Linked DNA regions of Zea mays. The protein of the gene in region 3 binds, or shares a complex with, the protein of the main gene of each other region. Links are inferred from orthologs where the notes say so. Each region holds a gene or a part of one and is shown on either strand. Other genes may lie near its edges.

What was found.
Region 1: pre-mRNA-splicing factor prp45 (region 3) and U1 snRNP share a complex: the UniProt entries of both Arabidopsis thaliana proteins name them as parts of the spliceosome. The link is inferred for Zea mays from reciprocal best matches to the Arabidopsis thaliana genes SKIP and U1-70K.
Region 2: pre-mRNA-splicing factor prp45 (region 3) and pre-mRNA-splicing factor SF2 share a complex: the UniProt entries of both Arabidopsis thaliana proteins name them as parts of the spliceosome. The link is inferred for Zea mays from reciprocal best matches to the Arabidopsis thaliana genes SKIP and SR30.

The regions. Positions count from the first base shown.
Region 1 is NC_050100.1:42,240,500-42,248,173, forward strand, and holds U1 snRNP, read right to left. Parts: upstream 5,608-7,674; 5' UTR 5,527-5,607; coding exon 5,428-5,526; intron 5,334-5,427; coding exon 5,219-5,333; intron 5,131-5,218; coding exon 5,051-5,130; intron 4,513-5,050; coding exon 4,437-4,512; intron 4,352-4,436; coding exon 4,287-4,351; intron 4,168-4,286; coding exon 4,105-4,167; intron 2,301-4,104; coding exon 2,219-2,300; intron 2,128-2,218; coding exon 1,965-2,127; intron 1,655-1,964; coding exon 1,589-1,654; intron 1,507-1,588; coding exon 840-1,506; 3' UTR 498-839; downstream 1-497. UniProt on the Arabidopsis thaliana protein: Mediates the splicing of pre-mRNA by binding to the loop I region of U1-snRNA.
Region 2 is NC_050098.1:57,766,036-57,773,719, forward strand, and holds the start of pre-mRNA-splicing factor SF2, read right to left. Parts: upstream 4,393-7,684; 5' UTR 4,237-4,392; coding exon 4,234-4,236; intron 4,159-4,233; exon of another isoform or gene 3,890-4,158; intron 3,345-3,889; coding exon 3,252-3,344; intron 1-3,251. UniProt on the Arabidopsis thaliana protein: Regulatory splicing factor that modulates alternative splicing and gene expression in specific cell types. Autoregulates its own expression. Probably involved in intron recognition and spliceosome assembly.
Region 3 is NC_050099.1:184,590,835-184,598,518, reverse strand, and holds pre-mRNA-splicing factor prp45, read right to left. Parts: upstream 5,126-7,684; 5' UTR 5,001-5,125; coding exon 3,171-5,000; 3' UTR 2,828-3,170; downstream 1-2,827. UniProt on the Arabidopsis thaliana protein: Splicing factor involved in post-transcriptional regulation of circadian clock and flowering time genes. Associates with the pre-mRNA of PRR7, PRR9, ELF3 and GI, and is necessary for the regulation of their alternative splicing and mRNA maturation.

The DNA.
Region 1 (7,674 bases), on a different chromosome or scaffold from region 3:
CACCAATCACCTAATTAATCTAAACCCTAAGGAACCATACCACGTAATATATATACCGAATGAATATATAGCAAATGAATCGATGAGACATCATACCTTGCTCTTTAAGTTGTATGGACCAAATCGAAGCTTTCAGACTCAAAAACGACAACCGGAGGCAATTGTACGGTATGGAAAACGAAGAAAACGAGGAAGAAGACTGGCTAAAACTAGTTCTCCGCCAAGGAAAGCTAAGTGTCACGTAGGCTTTAACACAACATGGGTACGCCAGTGTATCTAGTACCTTAAGCTATTACGCCGAGCCGTGTTAAACGCCGAGCAAAAGATCTACAACCGATAGAACGTCATCCTACGGGCTGAACTTAAATTTTTACAAAAAAAAAAGACTAAATTACAAAAAAAAATGATTACATTTTATTGATGAGACCTATGTGCTTGGATGTAGAGGACAAAGGTTGCAGTTGTTACCAAGCAACTTTTTGTTAGAAGGCCAAATAGAACAACAATTCTGAAGTTCTGCAAAATGTTGGAACAAATAATTTGAAGGAACTGTCATACAAAACTTCTTAACAGAAGAGTAGATGGATAACGGCAGATCATATGGATCTCCACAACCAGATTACACAAATATCTTATTCCACAAGATATTGGCAGCCATAGGCTTCAAATTCAAAAATCCACGCAGTTGGGCAAGATTTTGCTTCCTTTTGAGAATTCCCCAACATGGAAGAACACAACTGACAGGCACTATGCAGCTGAAACTAATTCATACAAAGAACCAACATTGAAACCATCGTTGTGTATCAGTATAAAGCTGCAGGCAAATCTCATCGCTGCAATCAAGCTTCCTTCATGTGTTCACCAGACCGGTGATACTGGTAGTCGCCTTCCTCATATGCCTCACCTTCCTCAGGGCCTTCTGGCTCAGCATTGTTTGGCGGCATCTGATAGTTAGCTTCCATTTTACCATACGAGTCAACACGATAATATTCGTGCTCATGCCGCTTTGAGTGTTCAGTTTCATGTCCACGTACATCTTGACTGTAACCATATGCATCATGACCTTTGTGTTGCTCATACTGACCATAGCCATAATCCTGCCCATAACTAGACAGATTTTTGTCATGCTTTGTCCCACCATTGCCATAGTCTGCATCCCTCTCATGCATGTGACCACGGTCACGTTCATGGCTGGTGCGCTCATAATCTCTTTCACCACGGTCCCTGCCTCTCTCACGATGGCGATCATGAGAGCGACCACGGTCCCTTTCTCTATCATAGTCCCGACCACGATCCTTGTCCCTGTCACGACGATCACGCTCCCGGTCACGGCCGTGGTCTCTTTCACGGTCCTTTCCTCTCTCCCTATCCCGAGTCCTCTCACGGTCTCTATGGTGATGCTTCTCATCTCGTAGATCTCTATCACGAGTCCGGTCATGCGAACGTTCACGGGTCCTCTCCTCACGGTCTCTTTCCCGTACCCTTTCACGAGATTTTTCACGATCCCTTCAAGTAAAAATAATCACACGAAGAAGCAATTAATAAGCATCAAAAGTATGATATCAACACAACAATCCCCATGGCTTACCTATCGGCACGACGATCATCCCTCCGAGGCTCTTCTGATCTAGGGCGTCCACCTTGTTGTTGCTCCCTGATAATAAGATATGCATACGTGTTAACAACAATCAGATATCGTAATGTCAACATAAATGTAGCACAAGTAATACACCAAGGTCATCACACTTTTCAACATCAACAATGGCATGTCAATGTATCAGATCACAGATGGTACAGAAGGCCTCCTACAGAAAAGCATATAAAAGACAAAGGGAACAAACAAACATGTAGAAGCAAAGTGAACACATATGACCAGTATAAGCATCACTGACGAGTTTGACTCCAGTGCCTCTTTCTAAAAGCAATAACTTTTTACAGGTGATCAAAATGAGAAACAGATGTACCTAGTGGAATCCTTTTTGTCAGTATCAGTACCACCCATCCTGCTTGATCCCAACCCACCACCCAATCTCCTAGGACGCCAATTTGGAACAGTTCTGCCTCGCTCAACATCAACTAATACCCTCCTGTTGTCCACTTTTCTCCCATCTGCTTGCTTGTAGGCATCTGGTGAGAACCCAAGTTAGCAGAGAAAATGTAAGCTATTATGAAAGAGAATAAACCAAACGGAAAATTTGCAACAAAAAGAGAAACTTACTTTTCATGTCTCGTGTGTGCACATACTCAATGAATGCATATCCTCTAGGTTTACTTGTATCTTTCTCAGTTACAAGACGAACCTGGAAAGATCAAATTTAGTAATGAAACAATATTCAATAAGAAAGTTCCCCTGAAGTTAAGAATATGTTATATTTTTAGTTGTAATTGTGTTTGTTCTTTTAATTTTTAGCATATTTTATGCTGCACGACAGACAGGCATAAAGCCTAAAACAGCCGTGCTAACCTTGCACATGTAGAGCTTCCACACGAGGAGTGAAATCCAGCACAGATCAACACAGTTGGAGGAAAAGCGCTGTCTGGCCGATTGGCATACGTTGGGAAATAAATTGGATATCCCCTTACCAGGGAATTTTATACTAAAGGAAAGGGTGTACGATAGAACTAAATACTATACCAAGTTGCCCTCCATCGGTGAAATTTGTTCAGCCTTCGTTTTCCAAACAAACAGAATGATAACGAAGTTAACAGAAAGGTGATAAATACCAAGTGAGTGATGTATACCCCTTATGCACAAAATCGATGGATCTTCGACTCTAGGAGTTGAGAGATGCAATTAGTATTGTGTAAGGTTGCTGATTGCTCCACAACCAAAATTTGGTAGCAGTGATAGCTTTCATAGCTAATCTGAAGGAACTATAAATACTATACTCACCAGCAAGCCTACCCAATTAAGCCTACATACAGTAGAAAATCCCTGTCTACAGACAAGCTGCTTTTTGAAAAATACAAAGTGATCTATGCTAATTTGTGCCACTGTCAGCATTTTTCAAGCTTGTTTACCCCCAGTTGACCATTATGGTAGATGCAAATCTGTGGAATGAGAGAACAGCTCAACCATTTACTACCTTCGTTAGAAGCAATTTGCTCTTCTCAAGAAATTTCTTGCTGACGACAAAAAAGTACTAGGAAATAGAGAACCTGGGCCACATACAGGTGCAGCCATAATTACCTGTTTACGCATATTTGTGTTCCCAGAGATGCCTTGTCATTAATTGGTTGTACCAACCATGCACATAGTAAAATGGCTTTCCAATGAAAGTCCAAAAGATTTAACTAAATTACCAGCGAGCATACATATGCCTGAACCCTATATAATTTTCCATTTGAAATGTATTCCATCTAAGCCCCAAAAGGTATAAAGATCGCTTAAAAAGAGAGATTGTGAAGAGTTGTAGACCTTCTGTGCCACAGAAATGATTGTTATTTCCTTAGTTTAGGACAACACAACTGCCAAGAGTTACTCCACACCCCTCCCCATGAAAAATTTCTTGTCTGATGTTTAAATACCCTTAACTAGGTAAAATTTTACATCATTGCATTGAACTGTATAAAACTACTGAAAATATTTTATTCTAGAACCAATTTCATAATTAAGTAATCAAATAAAATGAATTACAGCTAAATGATCAAATTCACAGCTCAAAACCATAAAAAAAAAGTTGTCATGGAATACATTCTAGAGCAAACACTATACATGTGCGTGAAACAGAGCAAACAAGTTGTTGGCTCCAAAAACAAAAATTCAATTAAAACATTGATGCTAAGTTTACCAAAAATGACTATGAAACTGAGAGTTCCCAGTTTCTTTGAAAGCATTTCCAGAGAAGTTTTCAGAAACCAGAAAGGAAATGAAGAAACTGCAGATTTTGATTCTAGATATGAAATGGAGCAAGAAAGCGGTTATAAGGACCCCTGGTGTTGCAAACACTTGTCGGAGGAGCTTAAAAGGAAGCCATAAACTAATGAGGCAACTTTTCCACAGTTTTGTCCAATGATTGTTTACATTTTAGAATGATTGAAAAATCCATAAACCTTACCAAAGTGCAATAACTTCACCTGCACAGGAATTACCACATTACTTACCCTTTTAATAGGACCATAACCTTCAAACTCGCGTTTGATCCTCTGCTCAGATGTCTCATAGTTCTGCAACAATGGCAAAGCCAATTAGCTTGGTTTTACAAAGATAACTTGCCATCAAATTCTCATCAGTAAGGACTAAGGAATGTGCCAAACTGCCAATAATTTCAGGCAAAATTACTTACAAGTCTAGCAACAAAGAGTGTTTTGTATGGATCTCCAGTAGCATTGGGGTCACTTTGTGGGTCATCTGCATAAAACCAAATCAGAACAATGATGTTATTACAACCATAACTTTAAAATAATTGGGGTGACACCATGCCCTAAGGACGTACACTTCTGAAGCTCTTCAGCAACCTTAGCTGCGCCTTGCTCGAGCTTATTATTGCGAATTCTAGCCTTCTTCTCTGCCTGCATATATAGAGCATATATATAATAATCAGGTGCAGGATAAAATAAAATAGTAAAGGGTAGAACAATGCTAAGATATGCCCCAAAATTGAGTAAGATATGATCCAATGCATTATTAAGAGAGAGAGAATTTGTGCAGTTCAAGAATGATTTAGGCCCATGTGATCTCAGCAGAAAGAAATGTGACAATGCCTTCACACAGTTGAATGCATGATATCATCTCAAAACATTGAAAATCCAGAACATAGTCAAACCATGCATGCTTTTGTAGCAGAAGCAACTACTAAAGTTGACCAGAAATGCCCAAAATATCATGCGCTCAGTAGATATCGTGTGCTACAAGCAGGTTTCGGAAGCTACTGTTCTAACAATATGTAATTCTTTACGAAAAATACTTGGCACACCATCCAGTTGCACACTAGCACTGTGGTGTAATTCGACTACCTCAGAAACCAAGTCACAAAGTCTGATTAGAGAACGTTGTACAGATATGATAGCAGGCAAACCTATGACACTCAGCATATAGACAAAAACATACCCTGGTCTCACACTTGGGTACTGGCGGAGCATACTCTGGATCCTCGGGCTCAGCAAAGTGCGACACAAATTGTGCCATCCCTGCATCCAAATCAGTAGCCACACCAAACAATCGGTGAGCAAACCCTTGAAAACATCTACTAGACAATCCCAAAATCCGTCGACTCACCGGTGTAGGCCGGCAATTTGCGCTTCTCCAGCGGGGGCTTGTACTCGAGCGGTGGACGCGGTTCGAAGAGCTTAAGCAGGTTGGGCGTGAGCCCCGTCGGGTGGATCTGCCCCATCTGCGAGCGAGGTGAAACCAAACCACGGATCAGAGACGAATCAGGCAGCTAGGGTTAGGGTTTAGCAGGGGAGACGAGGGGATCGGTGGCTTACGAGCTTGAGCTGCTGGACGTTAGGGCGCTGGCCCTGGCCCCTGGGGCGGGAGTCCGGGTTGCCCCGCATCTGCCCCCCGCCGTGGCCATAGTCACCCATCGTCGACGCCGGCGAAGGAGGAGGCGGCGGCTGGAGAGGTGCGAAGCGAGGTGGGGAGAGATGTGTCTCCCCCCTGTAGTCTTTGTTGCGGTCGAGGCGGCCCAGCAACGAACGCACGGGACTAGGTCAAGACCGTGAAGTGGCCCACGCGGCAGGGTCCCGACACAACGGACACGAAACGGATGGTTGTTTGGACGTCTGCTCCCTGACTTGTTTTCGGTGCCGCGCTTGCCCGAGTTTCATTGCTAGATTAGATAGTTTTGGCTAGCCATATATGTGGCAATCTATGAGGCATGTTTGGTTCAGCTTTTTTCTGACCAACTTGAAAATCTGGCTATGGGGAGAATGTGGCTGTGGGAAGTATCTGAGTATCATTACGATTACGTGTGGAGAAAGATAAAGTTGTTCATAGGGCTCAGGATCTAGAAAGTGACGGATTCCTACTATTACAACGACTCAACCGATTATGTGTTTAGGTTGATTTTAGATGGTTTTTGCCCCAACGAATTCTATAGAAGCTGGCTGAAAAGCTGAGCGTTTGGCAGTCCGCAATAGCTTTTGGTGGCCAGAAGCTGCCAGAAGCCGAAACAAATAGGGGCATGCTAAGATCTTTCTCCTATTATACTGGTTTCATTCGTAAATGGTTTATAAAAGTGTGGTAAAATTTTCTTACACATGATAATTTGTAGTGGAGAATTTTAGCGTCCAGAAGTTTCCAGTCTCTACTACTCTATAAGGACTGAGCGTGGACATCCACACTGAGTACACCATGCCCCCGCCTCCGTGGCTACCGCGCTCCCCACCCACACATAGGTCCGTGACCGCCACGCTCCCACCACCCAGATGCGCACGCTACCCCCCACCCCCACACGTCGTCGTCGCGCAAGTGTCCTTCTACCCGGCACTCATCGCGGTGCCGCGCGATGGAAGACCTCGACGTGCTTATGGGCTTGAGGCCGCCTGTCGTGAAAGACCCCGCCTCGCTGTCGCCAATGAACTCGAGGCCGCCTGGCGTCTCCTTTGAGCTTGTCCTACTCGGCGATGGTACAACTCCCTCCTCCCTTTTGATCCCCAACCTAAGCCTTTTCTGAAAGGGAAATGAGATTAATCATTTCCCATAATTGATTTTGGTGTTTGATGTCCATCACAAACCACGTGGACTAACTAGTTTGCCTAATTGTTATTTATCTCAGGTGCTTAAAAATCAACACAAACCAACAAAGAAAATAAGTTATGAACTCAACAAAGTTTAGAGCAAAGACAAGCATTAGTGCTGATAGTGGCGCACCGGACACTGTCCGGTGCCCAGGCCAAGGCACTCGCGAACTGGCCGCTCTCGGGATTCTTTGGGAGTTGCTCCGCTATAATTCACCGGACTGTCCGGTGTGCACCAGACAGTGTCCGGTGAGCCAACGGAGCAACGGTCAATTGCACCCAACGGTCGACTGCGATGAACAGTAAAAGAGCATAATGCAGAAGTCATAAGTTAGAGTTGCGAAGTCAGGACGCACTGGACTGTCCAGTGCAGCAAGAGGACAAAAGACTTCAACGGTCAACCGCTCCAAACTCCAACGGTTTGCTGACGTGGCAGGCACCGGACAGTGAACAGTGTCCTGTCCGGTGCACCATCGAACTGTCCGGTGTGTCCGTCGACAGCAACAGCTGGAATAGTGGTTATGTACCACGTAAGTATTTTTTTAGTACTCTCCCTTTCCAATTTGTAATTTGTTTGACTTTTTTTATCCTAAGTTTGACCGGCTCGTATTATTCAAAAAATCATAATTATTATTAATGATTATTGTTATATCATTTAACATATCATATATATAAAGTATGTCTTTGAATTTTTTTTATTTTGTCATAATTTTTTTGAAAAAAGCCGAGTTGGTCAAATTTGACAAAAAAATCAAAAAAATTATAAATTGAACCGGAGGGAGTAAGTACTTAGCCCTATCCAATAGTAGGTGGAGTGTTGTATGATGGCCACAATTAGGACTGAAGCTAGGTTATAAAGTGTGGACGCGATGGCTAGAAAATCAAAAATCCAATTATTACCCTCAAAATTTAAACACATTTTTTTAAACTCGGACATACCTTTTATTTTTATAAAGTACCGCAACCCCCTCTATTTTCCTCTATATGCGCCCT
Region 2 (7,684 bases), on a different chromosome or scaffold from region 3:
TAGCAATATCCCCAAGGCATTTCCACACCTCTATTGGAATACCATCTGGGCCCATTGCCTTGCCCCCTTTCATCCTCTTTAAAGCTTCTTTGACCTCTGATTCTTGGGTCCTGTGTACTGTTTTTGAGCCTTGGAAGAGATTATGGAAGACCTGGGCTCCTCCTAAATGCAAGTTCTTCCTTTGGTTGGCTATAAGGAACAAATGTTGGATAGCCGACAGATTACAGTTGAGGGGAATGCCACACCCAGATGTTTGCCCCATGTGTGATCAAGCCCAAGAAACAATTCAGCACCTACTTACTGCGTGCATTTTTGCCCGGCAATTTTGGCACACTAGTCTTGCTGCTATTGGTTTGGGGCACCTCACTCCAACAGCTGATGAGGAGAATTTTGCAGACTGGTGGGGAAAGGCAAGCCTTAGGGTTGTCAAGACGTGACAAAAGGGGCTTAACTCTCTAATCATCCTGGGGGCTTGGGGTCTATGGCTTCAGAGAAACAGAGCAGTGTTCCATGGGGAGGCTCCCTCATTACCCACGATTTTCCGGTGTTTCTCGGATGAATACGTTTGCTGGGTAATAGCAGGAGCTAAGGAGTTTGGGAGCTTGGGCTCAGTTGCTGCCCTGGGCGTGATCGGGTCAAGTTTCAGCAACAATCTGTAATCACTTTCGGGTTTATAAGGGGAGAGTTGCTCAGCAACATCTCCTCTGTTGTAATATGTTTTTTCCTCTCTAATATATAAGATGCGCAGTTCTCCTACGCGTTCTAGAAAAAAATCATCAAAGGAGTCATCCAATTGGGTGTCCATAGTCTTATTCTCACCATTGAAAAGATTGTCAAAATAACTCTGCCACCGTTGTTTGATGTCTTGTCCTTTCACCAAGAGTTGATCCATCTCCATCCTTGATGCATTTAATTTGGTTGAGGTCCCTCGTCTTCGTTTCCCGAATCCTAGTCATCTTAAAGACATCCTTCTCCCCTTCCTTTGTACTTAGTCTTCAATAAAGATCATCATAGGCTCGACCCTTTGCCTCACTCACAGCTTGCCTTGCAGTCTTCTTTGCCACCTTATACATCACTATGTTGATCGCGCTCCTATCATGGAACAAGCTCCTGTAACATTCTTTCTTCTCCTTTATTGCCTTTTGAACGTCCTCGGTCCACCACCAAGTATCCTTAGGTTCACCTCTGCTCCCTTTGGTCACCCAAAACACCTATGACGCCACCTTCCTAATACAAGTTGCCATCTTCATCCGCATGTTGTATGCATTTTCTTCTTCGAACCAAGCGCCCTCCACAAAAACTCTTTCTCTAAAAATTTCGGATGTCTCCCCTTTGAGTTTCCCCACTTCATCCTCGCAATTTTGGCTTGTTTATCCATATGGGTACGGATCCAAAAACGGAAGTCAGCCACCACAAGATTATGTTGGGGCACAACACTCTCCGGGTATCACGTTACAATCCAAACATGCTTGTTTATCTTCTCTCCTTGTGAGAACGAAGTCGATCTGGCTCGAACGATGGCCACTGCTAAGTCACCAAATGAGAATCTCTCTTTCTGAAGAAAGTGTTGGCTATCACTAGGTTGTAGGCTACAGAAAAGTCCAAAATATCCTCTCCTTGATTCCTACTAACATACCCGAAACCTCCATGAGCCAGCTCATAACATGCATTTGTTGAACCTACATGACCATTGAGATCTCCTATGAAAAGCTTCTCATTGGTGGGTATTGCTCTGACCATGCCATCTAAGTCTTCCCAGAACTTCCTCTTCTCGCTCGCACTGAGACCAATCTGAGGGGCATATGCACTTATAATGTTCAAGACTACATCCCCCAAAACTATTTTGATTAGGATAATCCTATCTCCCTGCCTTTTGACGTCCACCACTCCATCCTTAAGGGTCTTATCAATCAGGATACTCCATTTTTGTTTGCCACTGTTCCTGAGTACTAAAATTTGAAACCAGTGTTCTCCACCTCCTTCGCTTTTTGCCCCTTCCATCTTGTCTCATGCACACATAGGATACTAATGTGCCTCCTGCTCGCTACATCGACTAACTCTCTTAGCTTACCTGTAAGGGACCCTACGTTCCAACTACCTACACGGATCCTAGCCGGCTCAACTAGCTTCCTTACCCCTTGCACCCGTTGAGACAGATGCGAAGACCCTTGCCCATTTGTCACTACACCCGGGCGCCGATGTAGCGCGCCACTAAGGAAGCGACGACCCGATCCTTGCTCACTTGACACCGCATCCAGATCACGACACGACGCGCCACCAAGGGGCTGGCTGCCCGGCCCTTTCCCATTTAACACCATACCCGGGTTCCGATATGGCACGTCGCTAAGAGGGTTATGCCCCAACAGTTTTCTATGAGTGGCTAAGTTTTTATAGCTTGCTTGCCACGCCTCACGCAACCCTCCTACTTGTACATGGACTTGGGACCAGGCAATGCTGCACCAACATGGTTTTTGGGAGCAGCCTAAAAATTATTGGGAGTGGATTTTCTTTTAATCTCCAACAGTTCCCCTAAATATATACCAAAAATAATTTAAACTAGGTCAGATCATCTTTAATGCCCGCATCCATTCGAGCATTATGTCATCTTTGACCTAGGTAATCTTTCTCACGTTATTTTTTCCCACTGTGTTGTAGCTGGTAGGTAGTGGAGCATAACTGGGGGACAGGGTGGCAAAGGGGCATCGTAGACAATGAGCCAGTTGACGGTGAATAGCTGGCGTTGGATGGCCGGCAACGTATGGGTCGGCGATGGGACGACGTAGGTAGTGGTGATGGGGTGCCGGAAACAAAAATGGCAATGTAGTGGCGGGAGTACTGGTGATGTGGCAGTAGGAAATAGTATTGGAGGAACCAAAAGTCTCCCTATTAGTAACTACAAATGAGGGGAGTTTTGGGGCTATCAATAAGTTGGGCAGGATTTAGGGAAGCTGTTGAAGGCTAGTTTTTTTGTTTTTCCCAAGAATTTTAAGCTAGGGAAGACTTTAAATAAGATTTTGGAGATGCTCTAAGGGAATGCTAGATAGACTTATGCTAGTTAATATCATAAATAAAAAATGTGAACATTCAGCTCCATACTACATTCTCACATTAATAGGATACTGAAATTGCTGTCTTGCTGAGACAGAAAATGTTACTGACTTGTTAGGAATTAGCATATGCCCTGACCAACCAACACTTGTTTGCAAAATGAAAAATCGAAGAAAGGTACACGTTAAACAATTGCAATCCACCTTGTAGAAGAGATCCTCAACCTCCCTCTCACGGATGTCCCCAGGGAGATTGCCTACATAGATGGTACGGCTGTTGCGCCTGCTCATTGTTTTCTGCAGTTAAACACGGGTAAGTACATCATTGTCTCAAAAATGGGAAAATGCTGGGGCAAACACAACGAAATTTTAGCATGCCAAAGATAGTACGGTCACCAGAATATGGTTCTCCAAGAATGTGTCATTTACCTAAAACCCTACACCAATTTTCTAAGGAGGCAGTCATACAATGGTAATAGCAAGAGACAGAATTTTGTTTGAAATATCCCAGTCGAAAGTCAAAACAACAGCATGGTAATACCAAGACACGGAATTTCATTTAAAATATCCTAGTCGAAAATCGAAACAACAGGAAGAACATGGTGGCCTATGACTATATGCCGAGCATTATTAAAAAAAATGAAGTAGCAGCATCCATGAGACCTTGACCAAGAAAGAATGATGCTTCAACAGAAATTGTAACAAAGAGCACTATGAGTCTATAACATATTCTCTAGTTGCCTTTTATGTGTTAAAAAAAATGTACAAATCTGCACTGTATGTCACCTACTGATACGCGCTTAATCAAACTACACGGGTATTTCAAACATAATAACATGTACCGTATTCAATCATGCATCAAGGCTTCTATGTTTTATGTCATTGCAGCTCCAACTCCAACCTTACATCACACTGACATGGGCCACCGTGGCGAACTTCAACAAAGAGAGCCCCGGAGGAGGTTCGCTTAAACAATTTAGGCAGAATGGCAGCTGCAAATGACGAACAAAAAACCTAAAAGAACCGTGCAAGGGTGGATTGCCAGGGGTCTACTCAACTATCGTCAAACAAAACCGGAACGAACTCAACAGCTACATATAACTATATAAGGAGAGATTGAGTTGAGATCCCACGCAATCAGAGGAAAGGTAGGGACGAGACGACGAGAGGAACAGGCGGCGATTACCATGGAATCAAAATCGGAGCAAACTGGGAAGAAAAGCTAGTGGGGAGTGTGGAGATTAGTCGTGCCGTGCGCACCTCCTGGCGAAAGGGGAGGGGCCTCGACCTCGAGAAGGTTCGGGGTTCGGCAGGCGACGCCGCGTGGTGGAATACTGGAACCTGCGACAGGAGTCCCGTGGTCGTGGTGATATAGCTGGCGATGGGCAAATGTGGGTGCGGGACGCTTCGAGATTCGTGCGGTAGACCGCGACGTTGCAGCCTGCAGGCTGCAGGCGTGCTGTGGCCTCGTGGGCCGCCATGGGTTTCAGCGGCGGTGGTCTGATGGGCCGTTTTTGTTCACCCTTTGCAACAAATAACATCTACTTGACCTATACTAAGGGTCTGTTTGGTTGGGCTGTGGCTGTGGAAAAAGTTGCTGTGGGCTGTGAGCTGTGGAAAAAGCTGCTGTAGGCTGTGTGCTGTTAAAAAGCTAAAAATCGTTTGGTGGAAACCACTAAAAGTCGTTAAAAGTTCTTCGATATATGTTTTCACAGTTCCATCCAAAAGCCACTAAAAGCAGGTCCAGGGGTGCTTTCAGTTTTGCACTACGAGAAAGTCGGCTTTTAGAAAAAGCTGCTTCCTAGATCCAGCCCTTTGGTTGGCTTTTGGCTTTTAGGGGGCAAAAGCCAAAGCCAAAAGCCAAACCAAACACACCCTAAGGCTATCCGCAGTGGAGGTTACCCTATATCACTATTTATAGTCTAGGCATATAGATTCCTTACTATATTACAATCTTTTGCACTTATATCTCTACTAGGTGAGTGTCCGTACGTTGCAACGGAAACATATATCACGATAACTTATAACATTATAACTCATTTGTACATAAGTTATCATGATAAATGTTCTTCATGATAAATGTTCTTCTTGCAACGCAAAGGCACTCATCTAGTCACAAATGAAGTAACACAGACAATAACATGTAGGTTCTGGTAGCTTTTTGAGCCTAAACTCATATTACTCGGCAAACTTCAAGCTTACCACCAAACCAGTAAATACATATCAGTTTATTGCTCATTATTAGAACTGTTGTGAGATGTTGTATGCCAGTAATAAAGATTCACTACAGTACATGGCTAAAAACCCATAGAAACAATCTATATGTGATTGCGTAATTCGTAGGTGTAGAACACCACCTAACCTGCTTCATGCTCAAACACTTATCAATTACAATACTATAGGACAATATGATGCTGCAAAGATGGGGCAAAACCATGTTTCACAAAGTTGTTATTATAATTATCGACACAAGGCCTCATTGATGATCATCCTTGTCATAGTGGTCGTTTGGATAACCACCATCACCAATGACCTTGAGCTGCCCAAAATCAACAAAATAATATTTTAGTCAAGTGCTAATCAACAACAGCTAAACATCTTTTATAACAATCAGTCAAGGCAATGGTTTCTGTTACCACAAAGTATTGTGAGTAAATTGGGCACTCATGCGGTTAATCCTTTTGCAACCAAAACCAGACAACATCGTGTTCATCCTCCACAATAAATCGCGATGAAAAAATAAGCACAATTATTACATACCATGGTTAGCGTAGATGTAACTCCTTCGCCACCAGATCAGCCAACTGTTCTCTTGTTATTGTAGGATTCAATCATAGTCGGTTCCTCCTGCAAGCAACATCGTGTTCATCCTCCGCAATAAAGCGCGATGGAAAAATAAGCACAATTATTACATACCATGGTTAGCGTAGATGTAACTCCTTCACCACCAGATCAGCCAGATGTTCTCTTGTTATTGTAGGATTCAATCATAGTCGGGTCCTCCTGCAGGCAACACATTCAGAATTAACAAATGTACAATCTTGCAGCACAAAAAATCTGGTATGCAAAATCAAAATAATATACTTGTTTTCTTAAGGTGGTACTTTATATTGTTCAGATCTTGTAGCATAGAAAGTCTGGAAAGAAAAAAATAAAAATAGAAGGGGGTGAGGGATCAAGAACTTCCACACATATCTAGACCAAATGCAAGCGGTGTCAGTACTCAGTATGGATGGGTGGGCATGCCCAAGGTTGAAGAACAGAACCTGATATATAAAACACTGGTATTTAATTCAATGCTCCCAAGTGACAAGGTAGTGACAAATAGCTATACTACAGATTCCATGTATATGGTTGACTGCTGGTGTATCTAGAACAAGACTGAGACAATGCAGTTTAAGCATGCACATATCAAATACTTTGTAGTTTATGATATTAATATTAGTAACACTTGTGCAAATTTCTCTTCACCTGACCAAATACTTGGTATGATCCCTAGAGTCAGAGCTAAATTACAGGGCACCTCACTTTAGTACCGAAAGGGGCCGGCGGGAGGATCCATGTCAAATTGCTTCTTCCCTTGGAGAATCAGGTCAATGCTGAAAAATAAAGCATATTATCATAATTATAACTAACATAGTAGGTCACAGGAGTAAATGATGTAAAATAGTAATATTGAATTTTATTACATGTGCCCTCTTTCTCGATTCAAATAAATTACACTTCCTTAATGGAAATGTACATATGGCGTGATCAAATATGTTCCTGGCATTAAGATAACAAATTTTATGTATCATACTCAATATTCGCTATTCCAAAACAGAAGGAACAGAAGGCACTATTGGCATTCAGGGTTTCCGGCACACTGGTACAATTGTTTGGACCCATCTCATTATTAAACAATGTTCAGGCATATTTTCTTACCCAAAAAATAGTCAAACTTCCTGGCTTTCAACATCTCTGACCACATTTGCATTGTCTTGTTGGAATCGAACTTCCTGGCTTTCAGAAACCTGCGTTTATCATCGAGAGAATGCACAGGATGAAGTCATTAATGGCAAACGAGGAATGTATATATTTATATTAATACAACATAGTCAAAAGAAGCATCCACGTGCGCGGAGAGGGTACTGAAATCTCAAGATTAATCGAGAAAAGGAGAAAAATATTCACCATTAGATTATATGAAGACCTAATGATCTAAATTAAACCTATATATAAAATGTAAAAACTACAAAAGAAAAGCACCAAACTAATCGTGGTGTTACACAGCACCACACCTCAACAATAAAATGGTGGCCACTGGCCAAGCCAGCTCTGCCTTTGCTCAGGCATCCCAAGAAAAATGCAAAAAAAAACCCGATGCTTTGCGCTCGTTTCTAACCAGGTCGGACATATCAACACTCGTTTGTTCACTGAATTGCTACGGAGAAGAAAGTGGAAACTGATCAGCTAAGAACTTTGGAGACGACTCCAACACCGACCGGTCTTCCTCCTTCCCTAAGCACAAATCTTTGCCCTGCATCAAAGGCATGAGTTGACTATCCAATATGAATTTCTTTAGTATTCAATGAAAAAAAGTAGCTTGGAGCGTGCAATGGCATCACGAAGCACAACATGTTGTCAGAAGACCTGAT
Region 3 (7,684 bases):
TGTTGCTCTACGTCCACCGGATCTGGATCCCGCGGGAGCGAGTGGCGCGGCGGTGGCGATGACGTTGGGGGAGGGGCGGTGGAGGCAAAGGGAGGAGGGGAGGCGGAGAGAGGTCGCGTCGGCGGTGGAGGCAGGGGGCGGGCAACGCGACAGAGAGTGCGGGGGAGGTTAGGGATTGGGTGGTCACGCGGTGGAGAAGGATGGAGTGTGGGAGACGCAGACATACGATGCGATATCGACGGTCTAGATCCATGGACGGCAGAACGGCAGAACGAGGGAGGCAGACTACTCTTGCTCTCTTAATATGTAGTGCATATATATATATATATATATATATATATATATATATATATATATATATATATATATATATATATATATATATATATATATATATATATATATATATATATATATATATAGGAAAAGAAGGAAGTATCCATGTCTGATCTGGTGACCTATGAGACTGGCCGACTCTAAAAACAAGAAAGGAGTAGCGGGATCTTTCACCTGTGTGAATGGTATAATTGGCAGGTACAATGTACAGACTATCCTGAATATTTTTTTTCTTCTACTTTGATAAGGTTCGAAAACGAAGGAGCTGGGGCGAGGGCGACTGGTCGGCAGTGTTGAAATTGGCTGTCCTGGGTCCCTGAGAGATCATGAACACTATCGAAAGCTGCTGGACTGCACAGTTTAAAAGATAACGGATCGATGCGGCCAAAAGCGACGAGGGGCGCAGTGGCGTCTTCTCAATCCTCATGACAGACAGGAAGCGGGATCGTTAGCATCCAGAACCACAGCGAGATGGACGGCGAGCAAAGGAAACCGGGTGCAGGACAACCCGGGGCTGCCTCCATGCGAAATGTGCTGGCCGATTTACGGCCCCAAAACCAGCTTGTTCACGAAACGAAATATTCTTCTTCTCTGTTTCCGTCTTTTTTTTTTTTTGAGGTGGTGGCCATGTGCGGAAATGTCACACACTCGTTCGGTTCGGTTCACAAAAGACTAGAAAACCAAGTGCCAGGGAAACCCACGATGGGCCCGATAGTCCTTTTTTGAAGCCCATTTGATAGCACATGTCAGACACGAGCAGATGCCGGCCCATCTCGAAGCAAAGTACTCCTACGGACTACGGAGACAGGATGATTTTTCCGTTCCATCTATCGGCTGTCTTTCTTTGTTTCTCGTCAGTCTGATTTCTTCCCTTTGTACGTGTTGGCAGCTTTCTGTGGGCTGGCTGCTCCCTCAGCCCCAGCAAGGACTTGTTTAGTTATTCCCATTATATATAAATTGGATTAGATTAGAAAAAATTTAGAAAAACTTTGACTTGTTTGGGATTTAAACCCACCCAATCCCACTCCATTCACATAGATTGAGAGTTAACCAAACAAATAAATATAGACGTGCAGAATATCGTTTTGCAATGCAAACTGCTACATGTGAAATGGTTTTATCAAACGGTTTACCAAAACTGTTTTAACTCCACGAAGTTATTCATGACGTTGAAGAAGAAAACACAAAGTTGGAGAAAGAAAAAACGGCTTCGCTAGTAAAGTGAAAGTGTGCCAAACGAAATCTGACTCATCATCTCACACAGAAATAGAATATGATGATGCTAGAAATAATAGCTTATCACAGCTTCATCACACACCCGTCGGTCCTGTGAGCCAAACGAAACCTAAATCATGATCTCACATAGGAAAAGAATATGCCGAAGCCTAAATCATGATCTCACATAGGAATAGAATATCGTGAAGCTGAAAACAATAGCTTTTTCACAGCTTCAAAACACACTCATCGGTCCTGTAAGATTCTGTAAGAACAAATGTACATACAAAGCTGTCTTGCAAATGATTCACCAAAACAGCTTTTAACTTCACTGAGAAAGTTGCTCGTAAAACTAAAAAACTGAGCTGTATGCCTGTTTTGCAAACGGTTCGCTAATCAACTTTAACTTCACTGATAAAGTTGCTTGTAAAACTGAAAAAAAAGGCAACGTGTTGAACCAAACGGTGTCTTAATGTTCATAAGGTGGAGCCTCTGAGCCAATTGTTAGTACCGCATTATTATCATAGGTGTGTCCGTGTGTGGGGGAAAGAAAACATGTGTGCATACTGCTTCAGTAAATTTGGAACTGTCATCAAATCTCTGATTGCAAGCGTGCACAGAAACATATATACTCTACTACAAGATAGCAGTAAGCAAAGTACGTTTTGCCCCAGTTTCAATCATCTGTTGCTCATGCAAACAGCAAAGCAATGTCCACGGTAGTTATAGCAATCGGCCATGCATTCATTGCATATATGTGCTCAATTATCAGGAAATTTTAAATCTCTTTTAAAGAAACTCATGAAACTTTAACAATAAATATAGATCGACCAACTTGATACAGCTCTGCATCAAAAACAAAAAACAAAAATTGCCCTATAAAGGTTTGCTTCTTTGTAAAATGAACAAATGTTTACATGAGAATTAGAACAAACCAGGATCCCAATATTTATAAGGGCAGAAAATAACTAAAATTCAATAAAAGCTACCTTGAAGTATCACAAGTTCACAGGGTAAAAACTGGATATAGGTAAGTTAAGGACACTGCAGAAAAACTGAAAACTAATGTCAACCAAAAACTAGAGCATGACTGAGACTCCACTCAAACCAAGCACACTGAACTAGGAAATGGAGTCACAGATAACCACAGTTCGCATGACACAGCAAAATCTTATTGAGTACAACAGTAAACCATGAATACATCCCCGCAATAAAAAGCAGAAAGAAATAATCTAATAGGCACCACCAAGAAATTCATAAACAGAATGAGCACATGTGCAGCAACCATGGCAACAAATAGCCACGTTGAGTCCATCCATATCCCAAAATGATAACTGATGAAATAATAGAGCCCAATAACATGTATCGTAAGTTCGTAACAATTGATGGAACATGGATAAACGAAGCTCATAGCTCCTATAATGAACAGATACACGCATAGTACATAGACATCATAGGATCCATATAGTACACTCTTAAGCACAACCACTGAAAGTAGGCACATGAGCTATAACAGCACAGGAGCCATGCTCTTTCTTATCAGAGTTCAGCTTCTTATGACATTCTGCTAGAAGATATTTGAGAAAGCATTCCAAACCTGCAGAAGCAGAGCAAATACCTCAGCGCCCCCTTTCAAAGTTGATGCGGGACCTCCCAGATCCACCATCATAATCATCCCTCATTGAGGACCCACCACTCGCCTTCATGGTTCCTCCACCTCCAATCTTCTCCACAGCTTTCTTACCCTTCTTCACCTCAGTCAAGAACTGATCCAGACCAAATGGATCATTTTCTTCCTGCTTATCGAACTCCACAGGCCTGTCTCGCTTGCCAGTCCTCTCTGAAGCACCAGTAAATCCCTTGTCAGGCTTGAACCTCTCAGTCTTCATAACCTTCTCCAACTGTTCATCTGCATCACCATATACATCAGAATCCCCATCCTTCTTAGGCCTGTATAGCGTGGACATCGTGGACTGCGCTGTGAAGAGACCCTTAGAGTAGATATTGTACTGATCATCTGTGGCAAAACCAGAGTCCATTCCCTTGTCCTGGTTGAACAGACGCTGGTCATACATAACCTCACCACCTTTTGCACCACCAGTGCTTGCCATACCAAGAGCAATCTTCTCACTGATATCACGATCCCTGTCCCTTGTGATCTTACTCTTCTTGCCCATTGCAGCATCCTTGGCTTCAAGCCTCCTCTCCCTCTCCCTCTCGCGTCTGCGCTCCTCACGGATTCTATCACGCTCAATCCTTCCTTCCCTCTCTTCTCTAGACTCCCTGCGCTGCTCACGTGATTCCCGTGGTTCACGCGGTTGCTCCATATCCATAACTTCATCAACATCCTGAATTGCTCCCCTGCCACCACCAGCAGGCACACCTGATGGTGCAGGTGGGGCACCAGTCCTCTCCATACGTGCCCTCTGTGCAAGTGCCCTTAGCTCTTGCTCCTTTCTCTCCTTCTCCTTCAGCATAAGTTCCCTCTGAACCTTGGAGCGCATCTGCACTGCCTCCCTCGCCTTCTGCTCTGCCACGTACAATGCTTCAGAAAGCTTTGCAAAGTTATCATTGATCTGCACCTCCTGCAGACCCCTCCCATCAGCCGCCAACCTCTTATCAAGCGGAATCGTGTAACCCTTTGGATTTTTCCAATTTGAAATACAAGGTGGGATCTTCCAATCCTGCTGGTCCTTCACTGTAACTGGCCGTGGCGGCGAGTGCATCACTGGTACAGGTGGTGACCCAGACGCCCGGGGCACACGCTTGTGCTTGAACTTTGGTGGCTCAAGAGGATCCACCGCCATCTCTGACATCCTAATGATCCTCTCCTTTGCACCTGAATTGAAGGCCGCGGATTGCTGTGACGGCTTATACTTGATGAACTTGGACTCAGAATCATGAGTCGGCACATTCTTGGGCTGAGCTGCAGAGAGGCGGACGTTGACAACCTTCTCCAAGGCGGCCTTGGTCCGTTCAGTTGTCTCCTCGATCTGCTTCTGCTCCTCGTCGTCGTCCGACGTCGCCTGGGAATCGGCAGTGGCTATCTTCGGCACGAGGTCGCTATGCTTAGAGTAGACGATCTTGCCTGCGTTCTCCCCCTGCTTGACGACGGCGTCGAAGGCGACGCTGCCGTGTGCGTCGACGGTGAGCGCAAGGATCTTGGATCCGCCCTTATCATCACGGCGTCCCATGCCGAGCGGATACTGCGCGACGTGGATCTCCGGAAAGGCGCCGCCATCCCCGAAGTCCTCCGGCCGTCGCGGCACGAACCCCGTCCGCTTTCCGTAAGGTGGCACGGGCCGGGCGGCGGCCGCGGGCCTCGTCGCCGCGGCCGCCTGCGCCGACTCCCCACCGTACCGCTCCTTGAACCAGGGGTCGCTGCTGTGGTCGTAGAAGGTGGACGCTGACGTCTTGGGCGCCGGTAGGAGATCCTTGAGCGTCGCCATGGAGGCGGCCGCGTGCACGGCGCGTAGGATCTGCGGCTACCTAGGGTTCCGGCGAGTCGCCTGGTGCCCTGGTGGGGGGTCAGGGGAAATCGACGAGGAGGACAAGCTAGGGTTTGATTCTAATTTGGGGAAAGTGATAAAGGGTGTGACTGAGAAGGCGGCTACTGGCTGGGCTGGGCTGGAGTGGGCTTTTTGCAATTTGTAAAGGCCCGTTTCAGAAGCGAAACCAGTAAACTCTAAATGGGTCGATGCAAGAAATGGCTTCTATTGGCCTGCGCGCTCGGTGGTTTGGTAGCTCATTTTTACATTTTAAAATATTCAAAATTTTAATACTATACTCTAGAACTTAAAAAATGAAGAAATGAGTATCTGCTGTCCGCCAATGGATTGTAGGCAAGGTCGGAGCTGAGATTTGGGGGCCTAGGGCGAACATAAAAATCGAGCCTCTTCTAATATTTCTTGAGATAAAATCATCAATGGTTGTGTTGATCTAATATAATATTTTTCTCAACGTATAGGTGGCAAAACCACTCAATCGTTCTCAAAAAATTGTAGATCTGAAATAGTTATTCAATTATTTCAATATCGAAAAACTCATTTCAGTTGATGCCACCATGACAGGTATAATAAATAAGACTTGATAATTTATATAAGCAATAGAATAGAAATCTATCTTATTGACATACTAAAAACTCTTAACTCGGAAATTAGATTATTTAATTCAGCATTAGCTCTCATATTAGCTATATAATTAACTATATGATGTGGAGCACCTATGATTTGGGGGCCTAGGGCGGCTACCCGTCCGGGTTGGCCCTATGCCAAGAGCTGGCCCTAATTGCGGGGACTTAATTATAAAAATATTTGAATGTTCCTATGAATTAAATATTTATTTGGATTATTAAATAATCTATACGCAATAATCCACCATCTAGACAATTATATAAATAGAAATCTATTAATTACTAACTATAAGATTAAATAACTTATACAATATTTTTAAGCTAAACATTACATCATGGCAATGCACAACAAAACATGTGCATCAGATAAGGTGCACCAAATAGGACACCAATAGAGCTTAAAGAAGAGATCGCATACACTTTATAACCATCGGACTTGTTTAATGCACCACCAGACATATTATTGAACAGGATACTCAGAGAGCATGTAAATTATGTCTAAAAGGTCGAGTACTCAACGTATTTGTCCACCATGCTACTAGTTATGGCATCAAGCAGGATAATCAGAGAGGTTTGCTACTATATGTAACTAGAGATGATAGTGGAGTACGCGTGTGGATAAATAACCACGGATAATTATTCATTAGAATGGATATGGTGGGATTTGTTATCAATGGGTATTGATATTTATGCAATTTAGCATTTTTTGTAAAAAACATATTTGGATTCTTAACGGTTTAATATCGTTTTTGGGCCCTTTGTTCGGTGTCATAGACCATGCCACCAAGATAACACGGCTCAGCGTCGTGACCTATGGCGCCGAGATCATAACTACGCTGGCATTTAGGTACACTACTGGCAGCTGACATGCCGCCGAGGTCCTAACTACGCTGGGAAAATCGAGTTGTAGCGTTGATTTTACAGGACTATTCTTTTCGATGCATGTTTTCACTACAAGAAACAAGGCAGAGAGTGTCGGTCAAAAACTCACACTCTTACTGAAATAAGCCAACACTCTTAGTATAAGAGTGTCGGCCAACTGACACTCTTAGGTGACCTGAAATGGATGCTCTTATTCGTATAAATGTGTGGGACTGACACTCTTACGTTAAGAGTGTCGGTTCAGCACGCAACCGGCACTCTTATGCTAAGAGTGTCGGCCAGTGACATGGCAAACATTCTTATTGTGCGCACGGTCCCTAGCCTAGCTGTGTCATATAAGAATGTGTGGGCCGACATTCTTACTGAATAATTTTTTTTAATATCCAGTTTTATTTTTCTCCCTCTCTGGATGGGAAGCCTCCATAACAGTTCAGTAACAGCACAATACAAGCACAATATTCAATATATCACAACACAAGTACCATATTCAATATATCATAACAAAAGCATCATATTCGATATTTATACAAGTTCAAGTCCATAAGAAAGAAGTTCAAATCCATTTGAAACAAGTTCAAGTCCATACAAAACACAATGCTAGTAAGTTTCACATAAGCCTCCATATTAATTCATTCCGTCCGTGGGTCATTGAAGCCGCCGCCACTTGTATTCATTAATACAAGTTTCTCTTCGTACTGTTTTTCTTCGAACTCCTGTGAGCTCCTCAGCTCCACCGCATCCTCCATTTTTTTGCTTCCCAAAAGAGCTTCCCGCTTGCTCGGAGGACGCTCATCTGTTGAATCGGATTTCCGATCCGGAGTGTTGCTCTCTACAGAAGGCAGACCCACCAACTTGAAACCTTGAAACCTTTTCCTTATCCGTGTCACTCGACTCTAGCCCCTGCCCCTCTGCTTGCTGCCCATCCATTACAACCGTAGCCTTCAGGGACAGCAGCGCTCTCCAATGCACCAGCATCAGCAGGCGGCACTTGTGCTTCCAAAGAATCCTGCTGCTGCGGGCGCAGAGACGAGTCCACCATCTTGGACGACTTGAACTTCAGTTTGACACGTCGTACACAGCCCCCACCTTGGGCCTGCTGTACATTATGTCCGCAGGGGC